Linked DNA regions of Macaca fascicularis. The protein of the gene in region 6 purifies or fractionates together with the protein of the main gene of each other region. This does not show direct contact. Links are inferred from orthologs where the notes say so. Each region holds a gene or a part of one and is shown on either strand. Other genes may lie near its edges.

Region 1 (4,471 bases), on a different chromosome or scaffold from region 6:
AGACCAGCCTGGGCAACACAGCAAGACCCTATCTCTACGAAAAAAAAAAAGTTTTTTAGTTAGCTGGGTGGAGTGGCATGCGCCTGTAGTCCTAGCTATTCGGGAGGCTAAGGAGAGAGGATCCCTTGAGCCCAGGAGTTTAAGGTTACAGTGAGCTATAATAACACCACTGCACTCCTGCCTGGATGAAAGTGTCACTGTCCCTAACAGAAAATAATGAATATTTTCAAAAATTAAAAAACGTTAACCTTTTAGGTTTTGTGATATTTTTAGTAACTTTACAAGTAATGCAAATAGGAAGTATTATACTTAGGTATGGAATATGGAAAGCTAAATGACTTCTCTGGAATAAAAATGCTTGTCAAAATACCCTAATCAAGAATCAAATTCTGGCCAGGCACAGTAGCTCACGCCTATAATCCCAGCACTTTGGGAGGCCAAGGTGGGTGGATCACTTGAGGTCTGGAGTTCAAGACCAGTCTGATGGTGAAACTCTGTCTCTACTAAAAATACAAAAATTAGCCGGGTGTGGTGGCAGACGCCTGTAGTTCCAGCTGCTCAGAAAGCTGAGTGGGAGAATTGCTTGAACAGGGGAGGCAGAGGATGCAGTGAGCTGAGATTATACCACTGCACTCCAGTCTGGGCAACAGAGTGAGACTCTGTCTCAAAAAAAAAAAAAAAAAGAATAAAATTCTAATATCCTAATGCAGCACAATTTATTGGGACTAAGATTTTCAAAATTATCCCTGCCACTGACATGGTGTGGCCCTGTGTAACTCGATAAACCTATCCAAATGAAGGATTTCTTCTGTTCTTGAGTTCTGCATGAAAAAGGAAAACTACCTGCTTCTATGAACACATGCAGATAAGAAAATGAGATTATATGAAAAAGCCACAAATTCTTTGAATAAAATATTTTTACACAAAAATCTAAGTTGCTATTTTCACCCTTTTAGAATAATGCTTTTTATCCCTTCAGAGAGATAGAGGTGGCACAAAGTTCTAAGGGTATCACTCAAGAACATCTGAAGTGAAGTGAATCAGTACAAAACTTGAGTTGACTAAAGTTCTGAGAATAAAAGCTCAGACACCGGGATCCATGAATCAACAGTATTCATCCTAAGATTAAGAATTATGGGCATATTCCCCACCTTTTCACCAGCAACAACACAGAGAGATTCAGTGTCTATACACTTCGAATTTCTTAGACATCTTTCCAAGAGTCGATTCAACTTCACCAAGAGATCTGACTGCCTATAATAAGAAAATAGGAATGGACTACTGTCATGAAATATAACACCAGGTATTAAAACAAAAGCTCATTGCTGTTAGGTTCTCCTATGACTAAAGCAGCTTAAGAAAAAGATTTAAATACCTGCCAGGTTCGAAAGCTGGAGCAGCCATCTGAGAGAGTTCAAGGTTAAAAAAAAGAATACCTTCTGTTGCCCTATTGAGTTTTGGAGACACAAGTTCACAGGAAACCTGTCCAAGAACTCTGCAAAGATAAAGTACAAAGTATTAACTAAATAGACTCTCCTTCCAAAAAAAAAAAAAATCTGAAACAGATCACAAGTTTCAATCTTAATGTGAGTAATATCATAGTAAGCCAGATAAATCATAGAAAGTAAAAAATATATGTAAAGTATAATATACACAGAAATAAAACATAAATTGGTGCAACTAAAAACACGACAGAAAAAACATCTCTCTTCTTATTACAATGTTTACTATTCCACAGATTGTTCTAAAAAATCAATGACCTTTACTTCTAAAGCAAGTATTTATTGATACAAGATGGCATGAAAACTTGAGATTTAAGTGTTTTCACATGCCACAGTTCACCACCATTAACTGACCAAATAGCCTTACAACTTTCAAATGAATATTTGAAAACCTAACTTTCATGTCACTCGAAAAACAGGAAATCAGGATGTACACTTAATGACAAGATGCTCAAGATCTCTGTATTAGTGTGAGAAACAAATTCGATATGAGCACTACTGGTTGTCTACACGATTTACAGAAGTCAGAACTATGTGATAGGTGACAGAAAATACGTTTATGATTAAAAAGTTCAAGTGTGACCACAAAATCAAAAAATCTTGCATAAAAAATACTTATTTTTGTCAGCTAAACAAAGAATACTGTGCAGACTTCTTAGCTGCTTTATAAACAACCGAGTCAATAAGGTCTTTTTTCAAACTTCTCCCTTTTCAATGTGTTATCTCATTTAAATCCTGTTACCTTGTTTTGCCAAGTTCCACAATGCAGCATCCGTAATCTGTTCCAAATGAGATCCTGATGTTCCTATAATCATAGGTTTGTCTGCCATCCAGCCGCTGTTAAGCACAAATTCATTCATTCATTTATTCCTTCAACAAGTATGTCTTAAGCAACTACTTTTTGTCTGGCCCTGGGCTAAGCACTTGGGGGAAAGTGGAATCCTAACCACCCCGCCCATACAAGAAAGTGGAAACTACAGCACGGACAACTGCTGGGGTGACTAGAGACTTGAAAAGAACCTGTCGAAAAAAAATAAAGCCTGGGGAATGGGGTGAACGTGCCGGTCGTTCCCCTAATGGCTCCCCCGGCCCAGGCGGGCCAGGTATGAGTCCACACCTTGAGACCCGGGCGCCCATGCAGCGCGCAGTTCTGCGGGGACCAAACCATACCTTCTTTTCTTCGATGGCACGGAGTAGGAAGCGGCGTTCGCAGTTTGAGAGTGGCGTTTCCTTCATGGTATTGGGTCACCGGCCCCACAGGCACCAGAATCCGCGGGAAAAACGGAAACTGACTTTTCCTTACGCGCCGCTGCCGGTCCCGAGGCGCAGGAAAATTTCGTCATCAAAACGCGGCGGCAGGAAATAGGCAAGGGCTTGGGCAGTCGCTACTGCGCAGACTCAAAGCGTGATTGGGGCGGGCCAGCGGTCAGCAAGAAGCCAGTGCGGCTTAGGGAGGGCGTTTCTGAACGTGAAATTGCGTTTCTTTTCTCATAAAATGCGGAGGAGAAAAGGATACTCAAAATAACCATCAGAGTGGTAGAAATTAATATCAGTAGACCGCTCTCACACTTCACCGTTCGCTCAGTCCTCTTGCGGGGTGGAGACTAGAGAGATACTACTGCAATTTCACAGATGAGTTGACATTGGCCCCTAGAAAGCCGCAGATGCAGGATTTGGAGCATATTAAATGAACAAACACTGGAATGAGGCGGCATAAGGGTTGCGGGAGAAAGTTAAGATGGTGAAATGGGATGTTTTTGTGGCCAAAGGTGAAATTTTGTGGGATCTGAGAAGTTGATGAGAATGGAGAACTTTCGCACGTAATAACCAATGATGTTACTACTTCTGTGGGCTGAAACTAAATGTACCGTTTATTTCTCATCCCCTCTCCAGTTATTTTAAGTCGATAGACTTATTTTTATGGTCACAGAGAAACCTTAGCTGGGCCATGCTGCCAACCAATCAGCTTTTTTGGAGAGGCAGTATCAAATAGTACTTTTAAAAAGTGTTCACTGCCAGGGTTCAAATTTTAAGTCTGTCGTTAACTACTATAACCCTGGGCAAATTAACCTGTGTGCTTCACATTACTCACCTGCAAAAAAAAAAAAAAGAGGGCGGCGGGGAGTGAGAAACCTATTTATTATGAGGAATAAAATGAGTGAATAGATACATAAAATGTTTAGAACGGTGCCTGGCATGGAGTAAGCACTATTTAAGTGTTTGCATATTATTATTTTGTTTCCTTTTGCTTTAGAGGTGGTAGGCACTGTAACTCCTACGCAGTCTCTGGCTTCTTTGGTAGCTTCTCACACGTTATTTCTACCAGTGATACATTTTAGTCTCACTTTGTACCACTTGCAATCCATGTACTCAATAAATACTTGAAGAGGGCCTACTCTGTCCAAGAATAATTTAAGTGCTGGAGAAACAGGGTAGACAAGATCCTTTCTCTCAAGGAATTTACATTCTTTTTGGAAAGACAAAAAAACCCTAAACAAATAGAACAATTTCACACAATGGTAAGTGCTCTCTGAGAATAGGAATGCTATCTTAATAGGGGTAGTTGCAGGAACAGGTGACTTTGTAGAGCTGACATTTAAGTAAAGTAAATCTTTGGTGTTGAGCAGGAGCACCCTTGATGCCATCTGGAGAGGAAAAGTGTTTCAAGCAGAAAGAGTAACATATGCAAAAACTGAAATGGGATGAGCTCCACATGGTCTGGAGACAGAAATTGTGAAGAAGGAGGAAAGTGGACAGAAATGATTAATTTTCAAAATCGGCAAGGGGATTACAGGGTACTAACCACTTAAGTTCTTTAACAACATAAGTTCATTTTTATTATACAGTTTCACACCAGAACTGCTGGTAGATAAGTTCTTCATTTAAATCCTTGGGTTCTTTCAGTGGCCATTTGGTAATTTTTCCCTTCAGCAATGAAATAGGCCTTTGTTGAAATAGCGTGTTACTTC
Region 2 (4,594 bases), on a different chromosome or scaffold from region 6:
TTTTTTTGTATTTTTAGTAGAGACGGGGTTTCACCGTGTTAGCCAGGATGGTCTCAATCTCCTGACCTTGTGATCAGTCCCCCTTGGCCTCCCAAAGCACTGGGATTATAGGCGTGAGCCACTGCGCCCAGCCTGCCTTGGCCTCTTAAAGTGTAAGAATTACCAGTGTGAGCCATTGTGCCCCGCCAGAAATACATTTATGTAGCTTGTGGCTATCATACTGGACACTGCAGTTCTGGCATGGTCATGATTTCAGCACTGAATGGGCATTCTAAGCATGGAAGTTAGGACAAACTTACCTTACAGGTTACAATAGCTCCGACATCTGGCAGTAACTGGGACTCTGTTTCTCTTACTACAGACACCACAGGAAGCTACGGAGGGAAAAAGAAAAAACTGAAATGTCCTGGCTAACTCTTGGGTCAAAGCATTTGTGTCTTGAGAGTAATATAGGAATGTCTTGGTACACAGGTGAGAGCTGGAGTATGCATTCATTTATAGGCCAGAGCAGAAGGCCTTAGAAATTTTAGGAAATAGGAGGACCAGGGGGCTACAGAATGCTGCTAGAAGATGTAAACCTCTAAACTTCTTTTTTTGTTGTTGTCGTTGGAGATGGAGTCTTGCTCTGTTGCCCAGGCTGGAGTGCAGTGGCATATTCTCGGCTCACTGCAAGCTCCACCTCCCGGGTTCATGCCATTCTCCAGCCTCAGCCTCCCAAGTAGCTGAGACTACAGGCACCTGCCACCACGCCCGGCTAATTTTTTTTGTAGTAAATCCCTAAACTTCCAATAAGTTTTCTGGTGATTCTCTCAGAATTTCTTGGTATACAACTATATTGCCTATAATCATTGACAATTTTACTTTTTTTGGTTTTTTTTTTGAGATGGAGTTTCACTCTTGTTGCCCAGAGTGGAGTGCAATGGCGCCATCTCGGTTCACTGCAACCTCCACCTCCTGGGTTCAAGTGATTCTCCTGCCTCAGCCTCCCGAGTAGTTGGGATTACAGACGCCTGCCACCATGCTCGGGTAATTTTTTGTATTTTTAGTAGAGATGGGGTTTCACCATGTTGGTCAGACTGGTCTCGAACACCTGACCTCAGGTGATCAACCCACCTTGGCTTCCCAAAGTGCTGGGATTACAGGCGTGAGCCACTACATCTGGCTGACAATTTTATTCTTTCCTCCAAAGTTATACTGCTTCTTTCTGTTTCTTATTTTACTGCACAGGCTGAAATTTCCACAGAAATGTTACAAATAGTAGCTACACTTGTTTTAAGTGAATACTTGCAGAGTTTTCTCTTTGAGCATGGTATTGGCTGTTAGTATGAGACAGATATTTTGAGCCTCATCTTTTAACAATCTCTCCGTTGCTTACAATGCTTCAGCTCTCCTGGCCTTCTTTCAGTTTCCCCAACTTACTAAATTCTTCCCACTTTCAGATCTCTCTTCAACCTATTCTTTTTGCCAGAATTGCACTCTCTCCACCCACCTGACTCTAACCTACTCTTTAGATGATTCAGCTTCAATGTCACTTCTGCTGACTAGGATGGATTTGCCTGTTACATGTTCTTAAGGTGCCCTGTAATATTCTTTCAAAGCAGCCACCACATGTGTAACCATATGCTTATTTGAGCATTTATTTGTTTACAATTTGTGTCTGTGTCCTTTGATAGCAGAAACCAAGTCAGCGCTGTGCCTGACACATGAAAATACTCAAGTGGTATCTATCAAATGAACAAACTCAGGACTGTTAAGGACATTCCCAACAATGACTGAATAGAAAGCCCCTTGAGTCAGACGGCTTAAGTTACTTACTCAAAGCAGAATCGAGGTCAAGTTAGCCAGAACCTAACGGTTCTAATTCTGAATCCTCTTTCTACTGTGCTCCTTCAAATATTGCTTATATGATCCTGAGCTAATCCTGGATCAATCTCTAAAACTAGAAAGGTAGGTATTACGCATTCAACAAACATTTATTGAGGAGCTGCTTTGTGCTAGATACTGATGGTATGGTGGTAGCACCTGCACTTCGTGGAACTTAGATTTAAGCAAGGGAGAAGTCTAGTGGGAAACATACCTGAGTGTCTAATCATATGCTGACATAAGTGCTTGGAAGAAAAGGGACAGAGTTTTTTGTAAGTCTTTAACAAAACAAACAAAAACAAAACATCCCACAAAACTCCTTTCCTCAATTAGTGGGTCCAGAAGGGCTTCTCTGAGGTGATAATACAGAAACTAACGGAGGTAGGAATTAAACAGGCCTAAGAAGACAGAAGCGTTCCAGATAGATGGCATGTTACAAAGGCTCTGTAGCAGGAGAAAGCTTGGCACATTACCGACACTGAAAGAAGCTAGTGTGTTACAAATTTTTTTAAAAGGGCAAGCCAAAACTGTGATTATAACTTTTACAAATAGAAAAGACTGTATGATTAGATTGCGTCAGTGAGGTGGAGATAGTGGCACTAGATAAAGCCGGAGAGGTAAGCAACATTCATACAGTATACAACGCACTGCTGGGCTGAGCTGGGCTGGGTTACTGAGTTCGCATCTGCTTTTGTCCCAACCTCCCTCCCCGAGGGTCAGCAGCACAACCAAGCGAGATCAACACAACTAGTGTGTGGTGGCTAAGTGCACAACAGCGGCGATACGGCTAGAAGAAACTAAGAGACCAACATTGTACCACTAAGGCTCTAAAGACGCGTCCGCAGTGCCCATGCCTAAGGACTGGAACTCAAGGGCAGCCTAAGGGAAAAACAGAGAGAGAGGAGACGGCATGCCGCTTCCTTTACCGCGCCGTTCTCGCTGCTCTTCATCAGGCAGCCGGCAAGCGACGAAAAGATGTAGCCGTGGCGGGTGTAGGTGCCGCTGCCCGGGCTGCCCTCCTCCAAGTTACACAGACGTTCGCCTGCAGAAAAAATGCTGCATCGGTCATGGGCCCCCAGAAACTGCAGGCCGTCCAGGCTTCTTGCTTCGGCCCCTATCCAGGACTCTGTACGGGAAGCGCTCACTTACCGGGAATACAGTATCTCACAGGTGGTGCCATGATTGCCGCTGTCCCAAAACCCGGATGAAAACGAAATCGATTTCTCATTGGCCAAACCCAGGCACAGTTCCGCAGTAAGATACGCGTCAATTGGTGTTCTTTATCCTTGCGTGTAAACTCCATTTCCCAGGTTACCCCGGGACAAATCCGGGGGCGGAACTTCAGCGCTCCATGCTTGCGCCTGCGCGTGTGGTTGAGGATGGGCTGGCGGCAGGTCCGGGTCCGCTGGGTGGCACTGCAGGCGGCGGGCCATGGTGGTTTGGATTGAGCCGGGCCCGGCCGGGGCGCCGAGTCGGAGGCGGTGGCAGTGAGCGGCGGCAGAGGCTGCGGGGCTCGGTTTGGCTGACTGGGGAGTCGGCAGGCGGCAGGTAAGGGCGAAGCCTCGGCCCTTGCTCCCCATCCTAGTCCCTTTTTCTGGGTCGGGCAATGCCCTGGGGCCTTGTCTTGAGTCCGGGTTCCTGCTCTCTCCTCGCCCTGCCCTGCGGGGCTGCGCCCTCCTCAGCCGGAGCGCACCTTGCGAGCAACCGTTACGTTCAGAGCAGGAAGGAAGGAGGTCAAGCGACCCAACTCGTCTGTTTCACAGATGTGGAACCTCAGATTCAGAGACCGGGTTTGACTTGTCCAAAATCTTCAAGATAGAGCCCAAACTGGAACCCGCGATTTTTGACTTCCAGTCCATCGCAGTTTCACCTCGCGGCTGTCATTGAGAAATAAAACCTTTTCCCGGTTTTTGTTTTGTTTTGTTTTTGAAAAGGAGTCTCGCTCTTTGGCCAGGCTGGAGTGCAGTGGCGCGATCTCTGCGCACTGCAACCTCCGCCTCCTGGCATCAAGCGATTCTCCTGCCTCAGCCTCCCGCGCAGCTGGGACTACAGGCGCGCGCCATCACGCCCAGCTAATTTTTGTATTTTCAGTAGAGACGGGGTTTCACTATGTTGGCCAGGATGGTCTCGATCTCTTGAGCCGCCCGCCTCAGCCTCCCAAAGTGCAGGAATTACAGGTGATTCCTCCCAAAGTGAGCCACCGCGCCCGGCCTTTTCCCGGTTTTTTAACTGTAGCTTCCAGTCCTGCGGTCCGATCCCCTTCGCGGCCTCCCATCCCCACTTAAGTAAGCTTTCTCAGGTTGAAAAAGCCGAACTCTGGTTGTGTGGGCCCGTCATCAAAAGATAAGCAGCCCCAAAATAAAGTTGCTACTTTTTCTTCTCAGCGTGTTACCCCAGAAGGGAGGTCTGCACGTGAATAAAATGCTACTCTTTATTGATGTCTGGTATCTCCTACTTGAGATTGCAAACATCCCGAGAGCAGCGTCCTTGTCCAGATGACATTGCCCACGACTTTGATCTCAGTTCACCTGACTTCTGATGGCTTTGCCGCCTGTCCCTCCCTGTCCCCTCAGTCGACTTTCCCCTTGGGAAACAGATGGTGACTTAGAGCCATTGGAAGAGGGAAGTGCTGTGGCCTGCAATCTCCTCCTGTCTGGTGGCAGACGACCACTATGGCCTGTGACTGTTACTGAGGGATGAGAGTACTCGGGCTTGTGCTTGGGGTGGTAGT
Region 3 (2,651 bases), on a different chromosome or scaffold from region 6:
AGAACATCTGGGATGGGGGTCAGGGGGTCGGTTTGTGGGCCTGCTGGGAACTGCCACGAGGATAGGGCAAGAGACATGTGCATTAGGAGGATTGTGGCTAACTGCAGCCAATAGGGGATCAGCTAGAAGATGGAGAGCAGTTTCAAGGTGCCACCAAATGCCTATAGAAACTGCTTCCTCAGGAGGGCCTGTTCAGGCTTCTGTCTACCCTCACAAACTATACTACTGAGAAAGAAGGGTTAATTTTTCTTTTTCTTTTTGAGACAGAGACTTACTCTGTCACCCAGGCTGGACAGCAGTGGCGCGATCTTGGCTCACTGCAACCTCCGCCTCCCAGGTTCAAGCAATTCTCTGCCTCAGCCTCCCGAGTAGCTGGGATTACAGGCGCCTGCCACCAAACAAGGCTATTTTGTATTTTTAGTAGAGATGGGGTTTCACCATGTTGGCCAGGATGGTCTCGATCTCCTGATGTTGTGATCCACCCATCTCGGCCTCCCAAAGTGCTGGGATTATAGGTGTGAGCCGCCATGCTTGGCCAAGAGTTAATTTTTCTAGTGGGGTGTTTGCTGGCAAAGTAACGAGTTTTCAACAAGGGGAAGGCCAATGCACCTCATCAAAGTGGGAGGGTGGGAAGGGAGGCCTGTGACAGAACTTTACCTGCACCTTACCACCTGCCCTGTGTCCTATTCCCAACTAGTATTGGAGACAGCAGGGAAGGACTGAGTCAAATATGAAATAGGAGTTTTAAGCAGAGAGGTGGACTCAGGACTAAGTCTTATTATCTGAAAGTGACTGAAAATTACCTGACAGATGTCAGAGGGGCCTATGATCCAAATGTAATTACTGGAAAAATAAAACATTTGAAAGAACTGATTGGAGACAAGATAACCAATAATTTTGGGTTTATTAAACTATTAGAAAGGGGCTAGCAATCTGCAGAGCCACCACTTACTGTCCACTCATTACTGAAAACTCAGTTTCCATAGTGACCTAATTATACTTTATTTAATGCAACTTCAATGAATGAGATAACTTTTTTTTGAGATGGAGTCTTGCTCTGCTGCCCAGGCTGGAATGCAGTGGTGTGATCTCAGTTCACTGCAACCTCTTCCTCCTGGGTTCAGGCAGTTCTCCTGCTTCCACCTCCCAAGTAGCTGGGACTACAGGCATGAGCCACCATGCCCGGCTGAGAACATTTTACATATATGTGAAATAGTTACCCAGTCCTGATCAACTAGAGCACTGAGTGACACACATTAAATGTTAAGTTTGAAAAGACTGTAAAACATTCACATATGACAGCTCTTAGTGAAGTAAGAGCCTTTCATATTCCATAATTGTTTGAAACATCCAGGAGAGCTAGGTCCCGTATCTCCTCTAGAAGTGTGTATAGGCTCCTTCCCTTTGTTTGGCAATATTCTTGATATTCTTCCTGAATGATGTTTACTTTGACCTCTTGGGCAAGCTGAGCTTCTTCCATAGATTTAGTTACTTCTTTCACTAACTCACTCTTCAGCAAAGGGGAGCTCTGATGAATAAGTTCTGTATTTGGTATCTTGTATGGTTTGTTACTAATTATTTCAAGTCTGATTGTATCAGAATGGCAACGTGAGGCCTGTACGGATATTCTTACCTAGCATAGAGAAGAAAATACATATTACTAAATCACATTATTTGTTCCTTACATTTTAAATATTAATAGTACTTAATAGAAACACAGACTTACGGTTACATGGTCAAACAAATGGAACGTAACAGATTCCCCATCTGTTGTAGTAGAGGTAATTTTGTTTTGAAATCGTTGAAGGGATCCTGGTTTCCATGCAGAACGGCTATCTGGGCCAGATGAGATGACTAAACCATCTTTATTTTTTAGATAAGCAGCACCTTTAATCCCAAACCTATATTATGACCAGAATATAAATCCAGAGACAATGTATTCTTAGTACACAGATCTTGTATGCTTATCTAGAATACTAGTTTTTCTCCTAGATTAAAAACAAATTACTTTTCCTGTGGTTTACCTCCAAGTATTTATTTCACCTTAGCAGATGGAAACAAAGTATTTTGTTAGATAAGAAAGACCCTAAAATGGACATAGATGTGTATATATATACACACATTCCAATCTTCACTTTATTTTTTTTGAGACAGAGTCTTGCTCTGTCACCCAGGCTGGAGTGCAATGGCACGATCTTGGCTCACTGCAACCTCTGCCTCCCGGGTTCAAGTGATTCTCCTGCCTCAGCCTCCCAGGTAGCTGGGATTTCAGGCACGCGTCACCACGCCCAGCTAATTTTTGTACTTTTAGTAGAGACGGGGTTTCACCATGTTGGCCAGGCTGGTCTCGAACTCCTGACCTCAGGTGATCTGCCCACCTTGGCCTCCCAAAGTGCTGGGATTATAGGCGTGAGCCACCCCTGGCCTCCAATCTTCACATTTATATACTGAATCATATGTTACATTATGTACATATAACTAGTTGCTTAAATATCTTAATAAATTGTATCTATGTACAGTTTGTGTTCTACACTTTTACCGATGATTTGTTATGCACCATTGCATTAGATGTAACATACCTGGGTATAAATACAAGCACACCATTTGTTCGAATTGAATAAATAACTCCATCAGATATGCAACGCTCCTCG
Region 4 (4,164 bases), on a different chromosome or scaffold from region 6:
GGTTTCACCATGTTGGCCAGGATGGTCTCAAATTCCTGACCTGAAGCAATCCGCCTGCCTCAGCCTCTCAAAGTTCTGGGATTACAGGTGTGAGCCACCATGCCTGGCTGTTGCATTTTTTAGAGCCCAAGGTAAGCAGCAGGAAAAGCCCAAGGGGCTCCAGGCCATAGTCCAGAGGCCATGGGACATGGCCCCCACATCTCTAGGTTGGGTACTCAGAGCCAGCTGAGTTCTCCCTCAGCCCTTTGCTCAGGGCCCCGGATGTGCCAGAGTAAGGGTAACAGATTCCTCAGTCCAATGACCTGCTCATCTTGCCAGGCCCTGCCTCCTGCTCAGCTGCCTTGAGTCCTTACTGGGACATGTTGCTTTTTCCACCCAGGACCTCCCCCACAGCAACCCCCTAATCCACTGTTCTTTTCAGGGTTTGAATTAGGCTACACAGAGATAGGCAGTTCATGTGTGGGCGAGGGGCCCTGGTCATCCCCAGGAGCCAGCACCAGACCAGGCTCTGCCAGGCTTCACATGGCTCTGAAGTGCTATTGGGTGATTAACGTACAGTGAGGGTTGTGTGGGCAGAGGAGGGTTTTATTCTGGACATGGGTGGCTGGGTGGTCAGTCCCCCAGCAAGATAGAGGCCTCACGCACATGCTGCCTGACCACTCTGTCCAAGAGGGTGTGCACATCTCGAGCAGCCTGGGCAGCAGCCTCCAACACCCGCTCCAGGTGGTCCTCGTGCAGCCGGGCATCCATCTCAAGCAGCGCAATCTGTCCTGAGGCTGGCAGCAGGGCCAGGGCCAGCTGGGGGCCACCAGCTGCTTCCTCCACATGGCTGAGGTCCGCCAGGGCTGTGCCGTCCACAAAGCCAGCTGAGCACGCACACACAAAGTCTCTCATGGGTATCCCAGCATCCAGCACTGCCAGTGTGGCCGCATTCACACAAGCTGCATAGGTCCCACCATCTGCCTGTAGCACCTGCAGGGACCCCAGGGTGTGAGTCTATCAGACTCTCTCCCCAACCCCATCACACCCACCCCTCCCTGGATTGACACTGCAGCCGGCTCACCTGCACATAGATATCAATCTGGGAACGTGGGTGCAGCTGTGTAAGGATGGCTGCCTCGAAAGTCTGGCGGAGCTGCAGGCCCATCTCACAGGACTTCCGGTCCCCATGTGGCCGTCGCTTGCGCTCACCTGTGCTGAAGGTCGCTGAACTATATTGACAGTTCACTAGGGCCCTGTCCGGCAGGGCTCGAGCCCGGGAACCCCGGATCTGGAAGAGGACGGACACATGAGCCAGGCCCACTCCTTCCAGCTCACACGCCACTGTCCTCTGTGGGTCTGCCTCTCCCTCCACTTTCAATGCCTCAGCAAGGGGCAACTACATTACCTCCAAAACAAAGCCCCCTGTTTTGCACTGTCTTGCATGTGTTGCCCTCTGGCATCTTTTAATTGGCTTCCTTGTGCCCATCCTTGCCCCATTCCCTGCCAACCCAAGTTTACAAACATCAAGGCTGATTCTGTCTCACCTTCACACTCAAATCCTAATTACCTTACAAAGGTTTCACATTACATATGAAATAAAATCCCAAATCATTTCCCTGGTCTACAAAACCCTAATTCCTCACCTCCCCGGGAACTCTCAACCTTATTTAGAGTTATCCCCTCTTTCCCCACCAGCAGTCTTTCTGTTATGCATGAGTGCCTTGCTTGTTTTCACCACCGTGGTCTTCGCCCTCCTGGTTCCCTCCGCCTGGAAAGCAGAGCTCCTACCCTCATGCGCTAAACAAACACTCTTTCAATACCTTCACTGGCCAGGCACAGTTACAGCGCTGGAAACACAGCAATGAAACCAGAGAGTTTTATGTAGTTTCTGTCCTTAGGAAGCTTATGTTCTAGCGAGGAAACGGGAAAATGCTTAAGCAAAATAGGCATTTGAGATTGTAGATGCACAAAAGACAAGGGTTTATTGTAGGGAGAGAAGTACCGCATGGATAAAGCCGTCTGAGAAGGAGTGACGTCGGAGTAGAGCTGAGAGGAGAGGGAGCGAGTGGGGGAGTGCCTGGCACGTTGAAGAGCCGCAAAGAGGAGGGAGAGCGCAGGCACAGAGACCGATGAGAAAGGCAGGACCACCGCGCAGCACACTAAAGACTTGCGTTTACTCCGAGTGAGATGCAGTGCTGAGCATCGGCTGTGTAGACTGAGGCGCGCCGGCCGCACCTCTCAAGTCCCCGAACCTGTGCTCAGCCCGGCTGCCCCGCAGATCCCGCGGTCACGCGATTCCCATCCCGCACGCCCACTCGCCTCGTGCGGGCCGTAGACCACCGCCAGCGCCTTGGTGTTGCCCTGCTCGATGTAGGCCGAGCCGTCAGCCTGCGCGAACACGCCCATCCGAGCCTGGATCTTGCGCAGCTCCCCGGCGCGCCGACCGTCCACCCGGTAGCCCTGGTCCGACAAGAGCTCCAGCCCCGCCATGCTGCCCGGCCGCCAGCTCCGCTCTCTGCCTAGTTCTCTGATTCGCGGGAGAACTACAGCGCCCTGCGGCTCCGACCTCCCCAAATCTACGGTTTCCGGCGGTCCGCTATCACTTCCGGTTCCGGGGAGCTACAGCTCCCCGCGGTCCCGACCTCCCTGGATCTACGGTTTCCGGCGGTCCGCTGTCACTTCCGGTCCCGGAGAACTGGAGTTCCTCGCGGCACCGACCTCCCTGGATCTACGGTTTCTGGCGGTTCGGCTTCACTTCTGTCTCCGGGGAACTGCGGTGGCGCTGTCGGGGAAGCAGCGGTTGAGCCCGCAGCCGTTCCCGGAGCTGTGTCCCGGGTGCCAGGAGGTGGGCGCCCGCCGAAGGAGAAATTCCCGTCACGCCCTCGGGACCAGTGGTGCCTACATTCAGCCCTTCCCCGCGCCCCAAGTGTGGAAGTGGAAGGATGAACCCAGTGGGTTGCGACACTGACAGGAGAAGGCATAGAGCGGTGCTAGAAAAGTGACCAGGCTGGTGTCCCAGGATGGTCCACACCTGGCACCTCTCCAGTCCTCTCATGCCCTCCCTTTACACCGGGCTTCCACACTGCAGTCGAGTGGGCCTCCCTTTTCCTTTTGAGGTTGCAGATTTCCTCATCCTTTCCAGAGAGGGGTTGTGTGTCTGTTTATCTCTTGCCACTTAACCTCAGCGGCTTCAAATAGCAATCATTCTATTATTATGTCCTGCAGTCTTGGGTTATCTAGGCTCAGCTAGGTAGTTTGCACGTAGGCTCTCTCCTACAGTTGCTGCCAGATGGTGGCTGGGGCTGGAGCCATCCTAAAGCTTTCTCTTTCACATCTTTGGTGGCTGATGCTGGTGGCTGGCCAGGACCTCATCTGTGGCTGTCAGGCAGCACACCTACCTGTGGCTTCTCCATGCTTCCTTGCAATATGGCAGCTGGGTTCCAAGGGTAGCCTTCCAGGACAATGAGATGGACAACATGTGCATGATATTTTTAGAACCTAGCCTCAGAAGTCACATAGTGTCCCTCCTGCCAGACTCTGTGGGTCAAGGCAGTCAGACACATCTACCCAGGCTTAAGGGATGGGGACAGGGACCCCACCCTTCAGTGAGAGGAGTGTCAATATTAGACTGTAGGAACAGCAGGTGGGCTGGGGAAATGCAGTCTGCTGCAGGGGCCCAAGTTCAGCATCCCCTTAGAGGTGGTTATGCTCTCCTGAAAGACTGAGAGGCATGAGAATGAGTGAGCAAGCCACAGCCCTGCTGCTGCAGCTGGTATGAGGCCATGATAGGCCACTATCCTCTGCCACTGGCCACCACCGATTCCCCACCCTTGGCTCTGCAGCCAGACACTGCGTACTGTGGAGCAGCCCAGGCCCTTCTCCCCTTGCAGTCTGAGCTCTTCCTGTCCCTGTTCTTACTGGGTCATTTTGTTTGTTTTGTTTTTTTGAGATGGAGTCTCACTCTGTCACCCAGGCTGGAGTGCTGTGGCACAGTATCAGCGCACTGCTCCCTCCACCTCCTGGGTCCAAGTGATTCTTGTATCTCAGCCTCCCAAGTAGCTGGGAAGCTGGGATTACAGGCACCTGCCACTATGCCTGGGGAAGGTTTTTGGTTTTTTTTTTTTTTTTTTTTTTTTGGAGACGGAGTCTCACTGTCACCCAGGCTGGAGTGCAGAGGCACGA
Region 5 (4,577 bases), on a different chromosome or scaffold from region 6:
GTGGAGTCTACAGAGGCAGGCAAGCTTCCTTGAGCTGCGGTGGGCTCCACCCAGTTCCAGCTTCCCAGCCACTTTGTTTACCTACTCAAGCCACAGTAATGGCAGATGTCCCTCCCTGAGCCTCGCTGCTGCCTTGCAGTTCGATCTCAGACTGCTGTGCTAGCAGTGAGCAAGGCTCTGTGGGTGTGGGACCCTCCGATCCTGGCACGGGATATAATCTCCTGGTGTGCCGTTTGCTAAGACCGCTGGAAAAATGCAGTATTAGGGTGGGAGTGTACTGATTTTCCAGTTATGGTCTATCACGGTTTCCCTTTGCCAGGAAAGGGAATTCCCGGACCCCTTGTGCTTCCCAGGTGAGGTCATGCCCCGCCCTGCTCTGTGGGCTCCACCCACTGTCTGAGAAGCCCTAGTGAGATGAACTTGGTACCTCAGTTGGAAATGCAGAAATCACCTGTCTTCTGCCTCACTCACACTGGGAGCTGCAGATTGGAGCTGTTCCTATTCGGCCATCTTGTGACCTCCCCCAAACTTTAAATATTACATACATGGTGCTTGTTCAAAATGCTTTTACATGCATTTAATATATGGACAACTCAGGCATAAATTTTTATCAAATTACGATCATGGAATGACAAGTTACAAATGTTAAGACAATGCTCAATCGCTTATACTAAACTTTCAACGAACAATATGTACAGTTTCTGTTAATGCCTTTATTTTCTATTATGTTTCTTCTGATTGCATACGTTGAAATGCAATTTTACATTTACTGAAACTAATAATAAAAAATTTGGGCTTGTATTTTGCACATATTTTCCCCATTTTTCTACTAATTCATTTTTACTGTATTATAGAAGTATCTTTTACTGACAGATTGGAAAAACAACCCATTCTTCCCCACGGATAATCTGGGAAGCTGCTCTAAGACGCTGATCTTGAGGCAGACAATAAAAGCGTAGTAACAGTGAGGGCCCTGGAAAAGCTCCCGGGAAAGTAAAAATACAAAGTTTCAGTAACTAAGATTTCTTTCCTGGTTAAATACACTCAACCTGTATTTGGGCTGAGTGTTGGCCGGGTACAAATGTAGACAAAGGTTCCCAGAGTGCCGCCCCAATCCTCTCCCACAACATGGCCCCGAGCTACTCATTTTGAGATTTGCCTTTAGAGAAGAGCGAAGGAGCGGGGGCGTGGCGAGCAGCGTGAGATCATCGGAAAGCGCCCCTCGGCGCGGGCACAGCCGGCGCGTCATTGTCGTCATCGTTGCCCGACCGCTTTCCGGAGACTGTAGTCGAAGGCCCTGAGGTATTTTTCAAAGTTGTACTTTCAGTTTTTCTCCTCCTCCTGTTTAACTCCGCTTTTCCTCTCCTGGGATTCCCCTGTAATCCTCTGGGCAGACTGAGAGAATGGGAGTTTGGCTGCATAGCCTTCCAGGAATGCAGTGTCTCACAGCTCTTCGCTGGGGCAGCATTGCTGCAGGTCCCCCACTTCCGCTTGTTTTGGGGCTGCTTGCAGGCTTTGGCTTACCCCGGCCCCTCATTTCTCTCTCTTGCTCCGGTCTTTCTCTTTTTCTTCGTTTGTTAACCACCCCCTTCTCAACTCTTGGAAGACGAAAAAATTAAAAACAACAACAACAAAAAAAACATGACTTCACAATTTTCAGCTGTCTTCAAATCTTGCGTAAGGAGAGAGGCTAAAGTGGGACGTCTAGGGGAGTCACTTTACTGTGTTAGCTCCGTTTATCATTCACATTCACAGACTGCCTGCCGCTGCAGTATTAGCCCGTCTGAGATAGTGGGCTAATTTCGACCTTTAGCTGAAATCTGTGGTGGGTAATCCAAGAGAGCAGTTTTTCTTGATGACCCGGGAAAGTTCAGTGTAACTAAAACTTGCTTGAAAATACCTTTAATGTCTTCATGTTTGCTGAATACAATTCAGTTTTGGCTTGATACAGACGTATTTGTCGCAATGAGATGTCTGCTATCCACTTATTAACCCATTGGTACTGTCTGATGGTAGACAGAACCAAGACTTAACCGTGATTTTTAAAAAAATTAAATTTAAAATTTTTGTGGTTACATAGTAGGTGTATATATTTATGGGGTACACGAGATGTTTTGATACAGGCAGGCAATGTGTAATAATCACATGGAAAATGGGGCATCCATCCCTTCAGGCACTTACCCTTTGTGTTACAAACAATCCAATTATACTTTTAGTTATTTAACCCTGTATTTTTGATTCAAAATTAACAGATTAGCCCTGTCGAAGTACAGAGAAGTATTTGCGTTTAGTGGAAATGATAGAACTCATTGTTTTGTTGAAAGATAATGATAAGTGTGAATAATGGTTTTTCAAAATAAAACAAAATTCTCAGTCAAAAGATACTACAGCTGCCTTCAGTTAGCTGTGTTGTATGTATCACAGTTCAGAAGTAATGCAATTTTTTTTCTTAACTGCTTTTACCTTTCCAAATGGCTCTTCATATGTATTATCTCAGCTACTGTTTCCAAACAGTTGACCCTTCAAGCATAGCTCTACATAGTCCACAATGGATTAGAGTATTTGATAACTTTCACTTTTGGTAAAATACTATCTAATGTATTGAGGGCTGAGCCAGGCCCTGTTCTGATGGCTTTTATCTATATTATTTATTTAATCTATGCAGCAACCCCATATACTGTTATTTAAGAAATGAGGTGATTGTAATAAGCCACTTCCATATGTTTTGGAAGGTAATTTTGCTGCTTGATTGCTGTAATTTTGGAAATGCTTTGAATTAAACACTGAATAGAAGTAAATTTAATCTAATGTAGTTATTCATCTCAATCTTGAGCAATATCCTCATAATTTATATACTCCTCTATTATTAGACTTCTGGATACATTTATTTTTAGATGTTAATATCTTTTTTAGAAAAGGAAGAAGTCTGTATGTACTCAGGAATTGTACTGTGAGACTGAAGGAGAGTCACAGACAATACTAACATGGAGTCACTGTTTGCCCAAGACAGCAATATTTATTGAGAACTTGTGTGTACATTTCATTGTTATTTTCTCCTGAGATAATGCAGTGCAAAAAAGCCATTCCAGTAATTCATTACGAGTGATAGAATTCTGGTGCAGCAACAGCAAGTGGCTCTCAAGTTCCAAAACACAATCATGTTGGATTTATTCTCAAGCTTAGTTCATAACTGTGTATAATTATTTGGTGTAGAGATGGGAAGAGCCCCAGAACGTACATGATCATATGTTTGTTTGGATCCATGTGGTGACTTTCTATTATCTGTAAGCTCAAACTGTAATCTGATATTAAGAGTTTCCAAAATTAGGTCTTAGGTTACTTTGGTTGGTTTTAGTTAGTTAACAAATAGTTGCTAAATACCTAATACATGACAAGACATTATGTTAGTGATGTGTTCAAAATGTACCTCGACATGAATCTTACCTTGAGGAATAGCCCAGTGAGTAAATAACCAATGGAAAGGTAAGAGCAGAGGAGTGACATGATCTGACTTAGGTTTATTTTATTTTACTTTATGTTTTATTTTGTTTTACTTTACTTTATTGTCTGTTCTTTTGTTTTCTTTTGTTTCCTTTCCTGCCCTGCCCTGCCCCGCCCCGCCCCACCCCACCTCACCCCACCCACTTCTTTTCTTTCGGAGTCTGGCTCTGTTGCCCAGGCTGGAGTGCAGTGGTGCAATCTCAGCTCACTGCAACCTCCGCCTCCTGGGTTCCAACGATTCTCCTGCCTCAGCCTCCTAAGTAGCTGGGATTACAGGCACGTGTCACCACGCCCGGCTAATTTTTTTTGTATTTTTAGTAGAAATGGGGTTTCACCATGTTGGCCAGGCTGGTCTTGAACTTCTGACCTCAGGTGATCTGCCTGTCTTGGCCTCCCAAAGTGCTGGGATTACAGGCGTCAGCCACTGCGCCTGGCCTGACTTAGGTTTTAATAGAATCTTCTGTGGCTTCTGTGTTAAGAATAGTTTGTTGTGGGGTGGGGTACGTGAAAACCATGAGACTAATCATGGAGGTGTTGTAGTTCAGATGAGATGATAACATCTTAATTGGAAAGAAGTGAAGATGGAGAAGCAGTTTAATTTTAGATGTATTTTCTAGGAAAAGCCAATAGAATTGCTTACAGATTGAAAGTGAATTGTAAGAATAAGGTTATTGTCAAAGTTTGGGGCTTGAGCAACTAGAAGAATGAAATTGCCGTTAACTGAGAAATAGAAAACTGTGGGAGGGGCAGGTTTGTGGGAAGATTCGGAGTTCAGTTAAGGAGGTGATAAGTTTGTAATGTCTGTTAGTCATCTAAGCGGAGATGTTGAGTAGGCAGTTAAGTATGTTCATTCCGGACTTCAGAGTGGTCATTGCTGGAAACAGACATTTGAGAGTTGTCAGTGAACAGATGGTATTTAAAGTTGTGAGACCAGAGACAGTCGTTAAAAGAGTAAATGTAGGCAGAAAAGAGAAGGGGCACAAGGCCTGAGTCCTTAGGCATTTTAACATTAACAAGTTAGGAAAATGAGGAATAACCACCAAATGAGACAGCCTGAGCAGCCAGTGAGGGACAAG
Region 6 (4,434 bases):
TGAATGTAAATGAACCTAGACTTGTCTTATTTTTCCAGACTCTCTTTCTGGGATGGTTTTTTTTAAGTGCATATACCTCATTTCATCACTAATATGCCTCGTGGTAAAACTCATCAATACCACCCAACTGCCCTTATTTCTCCTATTTAGTCATGTACCTATTCCTTTGGTATACAAAATAGCCATATACATATGTTCTGTACACACAGAAAGGATAGAACTCCCTGTGAATATGAATCAAGCACCTCCAGACTTAGGTAGAAGTTCGATTCTCCTACTCTAGGGCATTTCAGAACACACTCCAAAACCAGTGGGGACTCACAGCAGGCAACAGCACAATATGGTCCTCAGGCTAGATGTCCGTTGTTGTTGATACAGCCATGGTCATCCTGTCCCAAACAACACTGGCAGAGCTGAGTAGTTGTAACAGAGACTGTCTGGCTCATAAGCCCAAAATATTTATTATATGGTCTTTTACAGAAAGCTTGCCAAGCCCTGTTCTAAAAGTCTAACAGTACTAAAATCACAAATAAGCACCCTTTCTACAACCATTCCATACTGGAAGACCTTCCATCCACATCTTTCTTTTTCTGCTTCCCATCGGGATCATCCTGCAATGGCTGACCAAGTCAGAGGCCTTCAAGTGAGTCAGGATTAAATCCTCAACCCTCTCATACTTGCCCTAAAAAGTGGTCCCCAGGGATGGGTTTCCTGGAAGACAATTTTTCCATGGGTGGTGGAGAGGGGAGGGGTAGATGGTTTAGGGATGATTCAAGTGCATTACATTTATTGCGCACTTTGTTTCTATTATTATAATATGTAACGAAATAATTATACAACTCACCATAATGTAGAATCAGTGGAAGCCCTGAGCTTGTTTTCCTGAAACTAGACAGTCTCATCTGTGTGTGATGGGAGACAACGACAGATCATCAGGTATTAGATTCTCATAAGTAGAGCTCAAGGTAGATCCTTCATAGGTGCAGTTCACGGTAGGGTTTTTGATCCTAGGAGAATCTAGGATTCTGCCACTGATCTGGCAGGAGGCGGAGCTCAGGTGGTAATGCAAGCTATGGGGAGCAGCTGTAAATATAGATGAAGCTTCACTCGCTTGCTGCCTGCTGCTCGCCTCCTGTTGAGCAGCCCGTTCCTAACAGGTCATGGACTGGTGCTGCTCCGTGGCCTAGTGGTTGGGGACCCATGTTATATAGGACTTAGCTCTGGTTAAGGCACCCTAAGTGCAGCTGTTCCATGCCTTCTCACAGTATACTCTTTTCTATCAGTATAGATAGTGTCTCCTGCTATCTTGCCAGTAAGTTTTTTCTCATCAATGACCAAAACTGCTAAACCAAATACAGAATCTGGGTGATCTTTTTCCTTCTCCTTTGCTTCCAATGTCCAGTTGCGTCTCCCCATTTGGTGGGAGTGGACACTTGTTTTAAGTTAATTTCTTCCTTCTTAGTTGCAACTCAGATATTTAGTTTGAGCCTGAGTCACCCAGTACATCATCTGGCTTATTCCAAGAGCTAAAACAACTGCTAAAATCTTTTCAATATCTGCTTGGTCAGTTCACTCCACTTCTCTGAAATTAATGTTATTACAAATCATAAAATCAAAAGCAAACTCTGTTCAGTAAAGATTCAAATTTTCCTAATATGCATGAAAGTGCTTGACAAACTCTAAGTTAGATGTAATTTGTCCTGCATCCTCATTCACCCATTCATTCCTAATTCCATCCTAGCTCAACTCCATTCAAATCTTGCCCATGTAATGTTTACTCTCTTTTTTTTTTGAGACAGGGTCTCCCTCTGTCACCCAGGCTGGAGTGCAGTGGCACCATCTCAGCTCTCTGCAGCCTCGATCTCCCAGGCTCAAGTGATCCTCCCACTTCAGCCTCCCAAATAGCTGGGACTACAGGTGCGTGCCACAAGGCCCAACGAATATTTTGTATCTTTTGTAGAGATGAGGTTTCACCATGTTGCCCAGGCTGGTCTTAAAACACCTGGGCTTAAGCGATTTGTCTACCTCAGCCTCTCAAAGTGCTGAGATTACAGGCATGAACCACTGCGAATGGCCTCTCTCTCCAATCTTTCAAAACATTATGAACGCTTCCTTCCTTCTTTTGGAAATTCGACCTCTTTAAACATGACATGTAACAGTTTGCTACCCTCTATAAGTAGTGCTCAGTGACAGGCATCACAGAGTAAGTAACACAGAGCCAGGGTTCTGGAGCAAGACTGCCTGAGTTCCCGTCCTGTCTACACTACTTATTAGCTGTGCGACTTTGAGTAAGTTACTTATTTCTGTTTCAGTTGCCTTAACTGTAAAAAGAGAGTTATTGCCTGTAGTCACCTCAAAGTGTCATTATGTGAATTGCACAGGTTAATATACGCAAACCCCTTAAAACATTGTCTAGTACTATAAATAGTTGCTATTTTTTTATACTGTTCCCCGTGTCAATAGCTTTCCATTGCTCACAAAATAAAGGAAAATATCCTTAATCTGGCCTCAAATTTCCTGCACGTTGTGACCACTGCCTACTCTGCAACCCCATTTCTTAGTACTTGCCTTCCAGACATACTGAATTACCTCTCATTCTTGGAAATCTCCATGGTTTTCTTTTTCTTTCTTGCCTCGTGGACTTCTGAACTCAGGTTTCTCCTAGTTTAGGACGCTGTGCCTCCCACCCTCCCAGGAACCTAAAGGGACCACTACCCCGCGAGAAGCTGGGTGAGTTCCCAGGGCTCCGGCGCTTCTACCCTCACTGCACTTGGTAAGCTGTACCCTGACTGCTTGCTCCTGTGTATGCGAGCTCCCATCCACCCGTGGGCCTCCTGAGAGTCGGCCTAATTCGTAACCCGGTTCCCAGTAAACAGTGCAGACCAGGCGCTAAGTGAATGAATGAGCACGAGAGCTGGAAGCCCTCTGAGGCCCCTCTGGTGTCCCTCGTTCGCCCGCCGCCTCGGCCCTGGCCAGGTCGGAACGATCGGGTGCCCCTACCGCCCGGCATGGCTCTCTCAGTGTCCCCGCACCTTCATGCGCAGCAGATTCTTGGACAACTTTGTCTTCCGCTCGGCCGCCATGGTGGCTTCCGCCCAGCGCCGCACTCCGGCCGCGAGCCTCACTGCACATGCGCGGAGCCGCGTTCGCAGCTGCGTCGCTCTCGTAAAGCGCGCCGCCCCGCTCCGCCCCGCGGCCCCGCCGCTGCGTGTCGCGCGCCGGCGCGGCCACTCAGCGGGCGCTCTGGTGACTGAGAGGCTGGGGTAAGCGCGCGGCGCGGTGGCGCGGGGATGAGCGCGGCAGATCCCAAAAAGGCCAAAGTCAGAGGAGGATCCAGAGCCTGGCTTCCCCGAGCCGGGGGCCGCCTTCCCGGGACGTCGGCCTGGCCCCCTCGGGGACCCATCCTCGCTCAGGGACTCCCTTCCTCAGAGACTCCCTTCAGACTCAGTAGTCCTCGCCAGCCTCACAGGTTTGCGTCACGCGTGCCACCCGCCTGGGTCTGGTTACCCACGTGTATTGTTTTCCTAACGTGGATGGCGGGCTTCCTGTGTTCTGGGTCCCTGTGCAGGGGCCAGGTCGTTTGCTCTTCACCAGGACCCTACGAGTTGCTGCTTTCCTTACAGCAGCCCTGAGTCCCGGGGAGCGTGGCGGGGGCCACCCCAGGCGGGCTGGCTTCATCCCCGGGCTGCTGCCGGTGCGTGTCTGGCCGAGTGATCCCTGCTAAACAGAAGAATCTGAAGAAACTGCAAGGGATGGAGGCAGGCATGGGTGCCAAAGACACCTGAATGAGAAGAAGGCTTGGTTTTGATCTAAAGAATTGAAAAGACCAGCCTGGGCAACATAGTGAGACCCTATCTCTACCAAAAAAAAAAAAAAAAAAAATAGGTGGGTGTGGTGGCACGGACCTGTGGTCTCCATTACTTGGGAGGCTGAGGCTGGAAAATCACTGGAACCCGGGAGGTCGAGGCTGCAGTGAGCTGAGATCCCACCACTGGACACCACCTTGGGCTATAGAGCAAGCCTTTGTTTCAAAAACAAAACAAAAAAGAATTTTAAAAACCACTGAAAATAGAGTGGCATTCATACCCTGGTGTTTAATGCTCTGGGTACCAACTAAACACGTTTTCAAAAATCATTCCCAGGTCCGACGCTTTGGAACACCCTCAAGCTAATAGCATTTCAGCTGATAGCATAGATTCTATGTCAGATTCTTGACCTGGTCACCTTATGGGTAATTAGTTCGCTTAATCTCCATAAGAACCGGAAAGAAGGTATTGTCATCGTGTTGTTAGGGATTCTGAGACACAGAGCGGGTAAGGGACTTGGTGGAATTCACACAGCTAATCCATGTTAGAGCTGAAATTCAAACACCGATTTGGATGTTAAAAGCCCTTGAGGTTTTCCCAGGAGTAAATAAAATCATTGTAATGTACT
Region 7 (3,904 bases), on a different chromosome or scaffold from region 6:
AGACTGTAACTACCCTACAGAAGTGGGTTAACATTTGTGCAGAAAAGAGCTGCCGTTGCGGTCCAAGGCTGCTATTTTCAGAAGGGTCTGTTTGCAGGGTTGGCCCTTGGCTGCCATCTGTGAACCTGGCTCTCAGACTATTCCCAGTCAATAGTAAACTGATGGGGGTAGTCCATTGTGCCTATATTGTGCAAATAATATCATTTATGCTGAACATTTGCTTTCCTTTAGAAAACTTCATTATGTATTAAGCAGCGAGTGTCTATGTGACCAGCCCCCAGTAAAAATCTTGGGTGCTGAGTCTCTAATGGGCTTTCCTGGGCAGAAATGTCACAAATAAGTTACTGTATTTTCACTGCTATAATAAACCTTAGCTGTGAGTATCACTATATGCTAAGTCCAGCAAATCTCTGAATGTGGAGGTGGTCTCGGGGATCTTGATACAGGGTCAACATTATATACCTACACCCAGCATGAGCCCACAGAGATCCTTACCCACTTCAAGAAGGCCTGACTTCCAGAAGCAAGGTAACTGATAGAAGACGGGACCTGGCCAGCAACCCAATAAAAAGCCCCAACCCCTAGAACGTGGAGCTAATGATACTTATTGAACTTACTGACAAAATAAGGAAAAATAATACTTATTGAAAGCCCACTGGGAGTCTCAGTCACTGTGCTAAGTACTCACTCTATTCATTTCCTCTTTATTATCCTCATTTTTTAGATAAAGAAATTTGGCCACAGTGAGACTGAGTAACCAGCCTGAGATCACAAAGCTGGCCAGAGAAGGAAGTGACATTCTGGCCCAAGGCTGGCTGCAGACACTACAGAGCCCTCTCTCTTCTCAGTACCCATACTGCCTGCCTAGCTGCCACTTCCTCAACCTGTCAGGCTGCTTGGCTGACCCTAGGCTTCATCTGTCAAGCAAATCATGAACAGTTTTCTGCAGAACTAGAATAGGAAGAGAAATAGTACATTTTAGACCAAATGATCCTTACTGTGTATGATATTTTTCAAAGCACCATAACACAATCATTTCATTTGACCCTCATCACAATCATGCGCTAGGCTGCCTGGCAGATGTCCTCCTTTACTGGACAGGGAAAACAAGGCCAGCAATAGCCAGGTGGTTAAGACTAGGGCAGGACTCAAGCCAAGAGTCCTGACTATGTACCTGGCACATAGGAGGAGGTCAGCAAATGCCGGCTGGATGGCTGAATGATAAGTATAAAAGTGGGTTCAACAGGAAACTAGAGGTTCATTTTCTGAATCTTCATTTTTAAAATCATTTTTCTTTAGAATTTTTTCTTTAGAAATATCTGCATAGTACTGACCAGTCAACAAAGAACTCCAAGTAGCCTTCATTTGGTTTCTCCAGCTTCGGCGTCCCCATTTCTGCTTTCACGCCCACCAAGATGTCTGTGTGACCCTGCAGACACATGCAAGAAGGGTCCTCACTCAGAGTAGGCAGCCAGGCGCTCCACCACCTCCCTCCTCTTCTGGACATACACCCCTGGGGGACTCTTTTAGGAGCAGTGCTAAGACTTGGAAAGTGGTCTTTGGAGGAGGTGAGCAGTCTTTCAGATATGGAGACACCTCCTCCCTGAGTTTGGCTTGGATCTTTGATTTCCCCAAAAGCAATCTGCATTCCAAAAGCCAGATGGCATCAGCAGCTCATTCCTTAGTGTCTACTCATTTCTCCACTTGGGCTTCAACCATGGTCACAGTACTCACCAGCTTGACCCTGGCGGACCCACTGGTGTTGGACACCACATCGGTTTCCACTTCAACACATCGGTAGTCCTCACAGCCACGGCCATCCACGCGGAGGTCTTCCTAGGTGTTAACAACCACAATCCTATAGCTGTCACCCCAGACCAATTTAGACTCCTAAACTGACTCACTCATTTTCCCCCTAGAGAAGATATATGCAGAATATCTTTTCCTCTTAGTGGATCATCTAAAATTCTGTCCTTGTAGCTAACCACATTACTATTTTACATATGAGGAAATAGAAACTCAGAGAAGTTGAGCGACTTGTCCAAGGTCCTACAGCTAGTGAAGACAAAGCTAGTTTTCCATGCCAGTTGTGTCTGATTGCAAAATCTACACTACATACCACTATACAGAATATGTACACAAAAACAAGATCTGAACAAGAGACAAAATAAGCCACCTCTCCCCAAATCTGCAATTCTTAAATTGCACCAAGTAGTGTATGTGTCAGAGCTACAGGGTACAATCATCTCAACTGAAGCCCTCCTACCCCTAAAATTCAACAAGATCTACTGTGTAAACAGGGAAAGACACCTAATCTTCTAAAGAGGCAGTCTCTAGAACAGGGTCAACAAACTAAGGGACCTTGTTTTTGTAGTTTTACTGGAACACAGCCATGTCCACTTGTTTAGGTATTGTCTATGATTGCTTCTGCACTACAAAAGCAGAGCTGAGTGGTTGGGCCGGAGAGATGATCCATAACGCCCCAAATCTTTACTATCCAATCCTTTACAGGAAGTTTGCTGACTCTTTTGGCACAAGATGGTTTTCAGGGAGGTCTATGTTCCTTCTGCCCATTTATTTGCTCCTTCAATTACTTATATCAGTACAACTCATTGGTATCTTTTATGCTATGGTTATAATCCACTACTATCATTAGTTATTTTGCTGCTCAAAGTGTTCCAAATTCGGCCACTGGGGGCTTCTTTGGGTTAGTTTTTGTGTTCTTTCAACATGCTGCCAACTTTTTGTGAGTAATTATATACTTTCTGCAACACAAGATATCTATCCTCTTGTGTTTTCTCTGTCCAGCCCTAGGGATCAAGCCTTTCTCCAAGAAGCCCTGGTTGCTTTTATTGGGGAATGGTACTGAAAACCAGGATCTAGGCTCTAAGTTCATTGCTGTTGGAATATTATTTCTTTCAGAACTTCTTAGCAGACAGAGCTAAAAAATACAGGTATGTATACTAACCACCCCCCCCCGCCACCCCCCCAAATCTACGTGTAATTCTGTATCTATCTACGTATCTATTAAAAAGCCATAAGTTCATACTGATAGCTAATTCCAATCTAACATCACATGGTTCATTCTAGCCTTCCTCCTTTTCTTATTTGTAACTTCTTTCTCAAAGAAGGAGAAACCCGGTTCTTATTATCTACCATGCATTTCTATATTTGTTCAATCTCAGCATACACATAGTTTCCAAACTTCTAATCCATACCCCTGTGAGAAACAAATTTACTAACAGCGCACAGCATTTGTATAAAGTTCTGTCTTTAGCCTCATAGTATTCAGCCAAAATACTGTTTTCCAGTTACTTGAGTTCTTTTCTTCCACATGCCCTTCAGTGTGGTTACATTATTCACTTGTAACACAGACTCATTTGTAACTTGTAACTTTTTTTTTAGACTATGGCTCTGTCACCCAGGCTGGAGTGCAGTATGGCAGGGCTCACCGCAACCTCCGCCACCTGCGTTCAAACGATTCTCCTGCCTCAGCCTCTGAAGTAGCTGGGATTACAGGCGCACCACCATGCCTGGCTATTTTTCATTTGCAAATTTTTGTATTCCATTTTGGGTTCCCCTATATCCTGGTTACTTTTACTTACTTACTTTCTGGGTTTGTGAGCTATCACTATAGTTCTAAGAGACAAAACTCAGAAAAGTATGCTCAGAGAAATGTCACTCTCCTCTTCTCTGTATTATGCTATTTTCATGCCCCTTTCTTCCCATTCACCCCAGGTTTCTCTTTAGTTTCTGGTTTATCTTTCTTGTATTTTCTCTGCACAAATAAGCAAATACATGAATTTTTAAATATCCCCTTGTTTCTTATATGAAAGGTGGAATACTATAGATACTCTTACTTTTTTTTTTTTTAACACTTAACTATATATATATATATATATGC

What was found.
Region 1: the proteins of MPHOSPH6 (region 6) and EXOSC9 purify together in Homo sapiens (affinity purification with mass spectrometry; 5 studies listed by BioGRID and IntAct, with this or other methods). This does not show direct contact. The link is inferred for Macaca fascicularis from reciprocal best matches to the Homo sapiens genes MPHOSPH6 and EXOSC9.
Region 2: the proteins of MPHOSPH6 (region 6) and EXOSC1 purify together in Homo sapiens (affinity purification with mass spectrometry; 5 studies listed by BioGRID and IntAct, counting the BioPlex papers as one, with this or other methods). This does not show direct contact. The link is inferred for Macaca fascicularis from reciprocal best matches to the Homo sapiens genes MPHOSPH6 and EXOSC1.
Region 3: the proteins of MPHOSPH6 (region 6) and DIS3L purify together in Homo sapiens (affinity purification with mass spectrometry; 3 studies listed by BioGRID and IntAct, with this or other methods). This does not show direct contact. The link is inferred for Macaca fascicularis from reciprocal best matches to the Homo sapiens genes MPHOSPH6 and DIS3L.
Region 4: the proteins of MPHOSPH6 (region 6) and EXOSC4 purify together in Homo sapiens (affinity purification with mass spectrometry; 7 studies listed by BioGRID and IntAct, with this or other methods). This does not show direct contact. The link is inferred for Macaca fascicularis from reciprocal best matches to the Homo sapiens genes MPHOSPH6 and EXOSC4.
Region 5: the proteins of MPHOSPH6 (region 6) and C1D purify together in Homo sapiens (co-immunoprecipitation; 3 studies listed by BioGRID and IntAct, counting the BioPlex papers as one, with this or other methods). This does not show direct contact. The link is inferred for Macaca fascicularis from reciprocal best matches to the Homo sapiens genes MPHOSPH6 and C1D.
Region 7: the proteins of MPHOSPH6 (region 6) and EXOSC7 purify together in Homo sapiens (affinity purification with mass spectrometry; 4 studies listed by BioGRID and IntAct, counting the BioPlex papers as one, with this or other methods). This does not show direct contact. The link is inferred for Macaca fascicularis from reciprocal best matches to the Homo sapiens genes MPHOSPH6 and EXOSC7.

Annotation. Positions count from the first base shown.
Region 1 is NC_088379.1:126,876,463-126,880,933, reverse strand, and holds the start of EXOSC9 (exosome complex component RRP45), read right to left. Parts: upstream 2,823-4,471; 5' UTR 2,739-2,822; coding exon 2,673-2,738; intron 2,340-2,672; coding exon 2,245-2,339; intron 1,496-2,244; coding exon 1,376-1,495; intron 1,255-1,375; coding exon 1,152-1,254; intron 1-1,151. UniProt on the Homo sapiens protein: Non-catalytic component of the RNA exosome complex which has 3'->5' exoribonuclease activity and participates in a multitude of cellular RNA processing and degradation events.
Region 2 is NC_088383.1:106,397,169-106,401,762, forward strand, and holds the start of EXOSC1 (exosome complex component CSL4), read right to left. Parts: upstream 3,066-4,594; 5' UTR 3,044-3,065; coding exon 3,013-3,043; intron 2,906-3,012; coding exon 2,790-2,905; intron 375-2,789; coding exon 300-374; intron 1-299. UniProt on the Homo sapiens protein: Non-catalytic component of the RNA exosome complex which has 3'->5' exoribonuclease activity and participates in a multitude of cellular RNA processing and degradation events.
Region 3 is NC_088381.1:42,990,589-42,993,239, reverse strand, and holds the end of DIS3L (DIS3-like exonuclease 1), read right to left. Parts: coding exon 2,580-2,651; intron 1,902-2,579; coding exon 1,727-1,901; intron 1,634-1,726; coding exon 1,325-1,633; 3' UTR 886-1,324; downstream 1-885. UniProt on the Homo sapiens protein: Catalytic component of the RNA exosome complex which has 3'->5' exoribonuclease activity and participates in a multitude of cellular RNA processing and degradation events.
Region 4 is NC_088382.1:153,749,148-153,753,311, reverse strand, and holds EXOSC4 (exosome complex component RRP41), read right to left. Parts: upstream 2,581-4,164; 5' UTR 2,473-2,580; coding exon 2,302-2,472; exon of another isoform or gene 1,985-2,301; intron 1,271-1,984; coding exon 1,064-1,270; intron 973-1,063; coding exon 613-972; 3' UTR 565-612; downstream 1-564. UniProt on the Homo sapiens protein: Non-catalytic component of the RNA exosome complex which has 3'->5' exoribonuclease activity and participates in a multitude of cellular RNA processing and degradation events.
Region 5 is NC_088387.1:53,857,090-53,861,666, forward strand, and holds the start of C1D (nuclear nucleic acid-binding protein C1D), read left to right. Parts: upstream 1-1,493; 5' UTR 1,494-1,641; coding exon 1,642-1,677; exon of another isoform or gene 1,678-1,825; intron 1,826-4,577. UniProt on the Homo sapiens protein: Plays a role in the recruitment of the RNA exosome complex to pre-rRNA to mediate the 3'-5' end processing of the 5.8S rRNA; this function may include MPHOSPH6.
Region 6 is NC_088394.1:78,050,674-78,055,107, forward strand, and holds the start of MPHOSPH6 (M-phase phosphoprotein 6), read right to left. Parts: upstream 3,135-4,434; 5' UTR 3,133-3,134; coding exon 3,001-3,132; intron 2,712-3,000; exon of another isoform or gene 2,590-2,711; intron 903-2,589; exon of another isoform or gene 848-902; coding exon of another isoform or gene 845-847; intron 1-844. UniProt on the Homo sapiens protein: RNA-binding protein that associates with the RNA exosome complex. Involved in the 3'-processing of the 7S pre-RNA to the mature 5.8S rRNA and play a role in recruiting the RNA exosome complex to pre-rRNA; this function may include C1D.
Region 7 is NC_088376.1:107,885,236-107,889,139, reverse strand, and holds part of EXOSC7 (exosome complex component RRP42), read right to left. Parts: intron 1,837-3,904; coding exon 1,735-1,836; intron 1,430-1,734; coding exon 1,335-1,429; intron 1-1,334. UniProt on the Homo sapiens protein: Non-catalytic component of the RNA exosome complex which has 3'->5' exoribonuclease activity and participates in a multitude of cellular RNA processing and degradation events.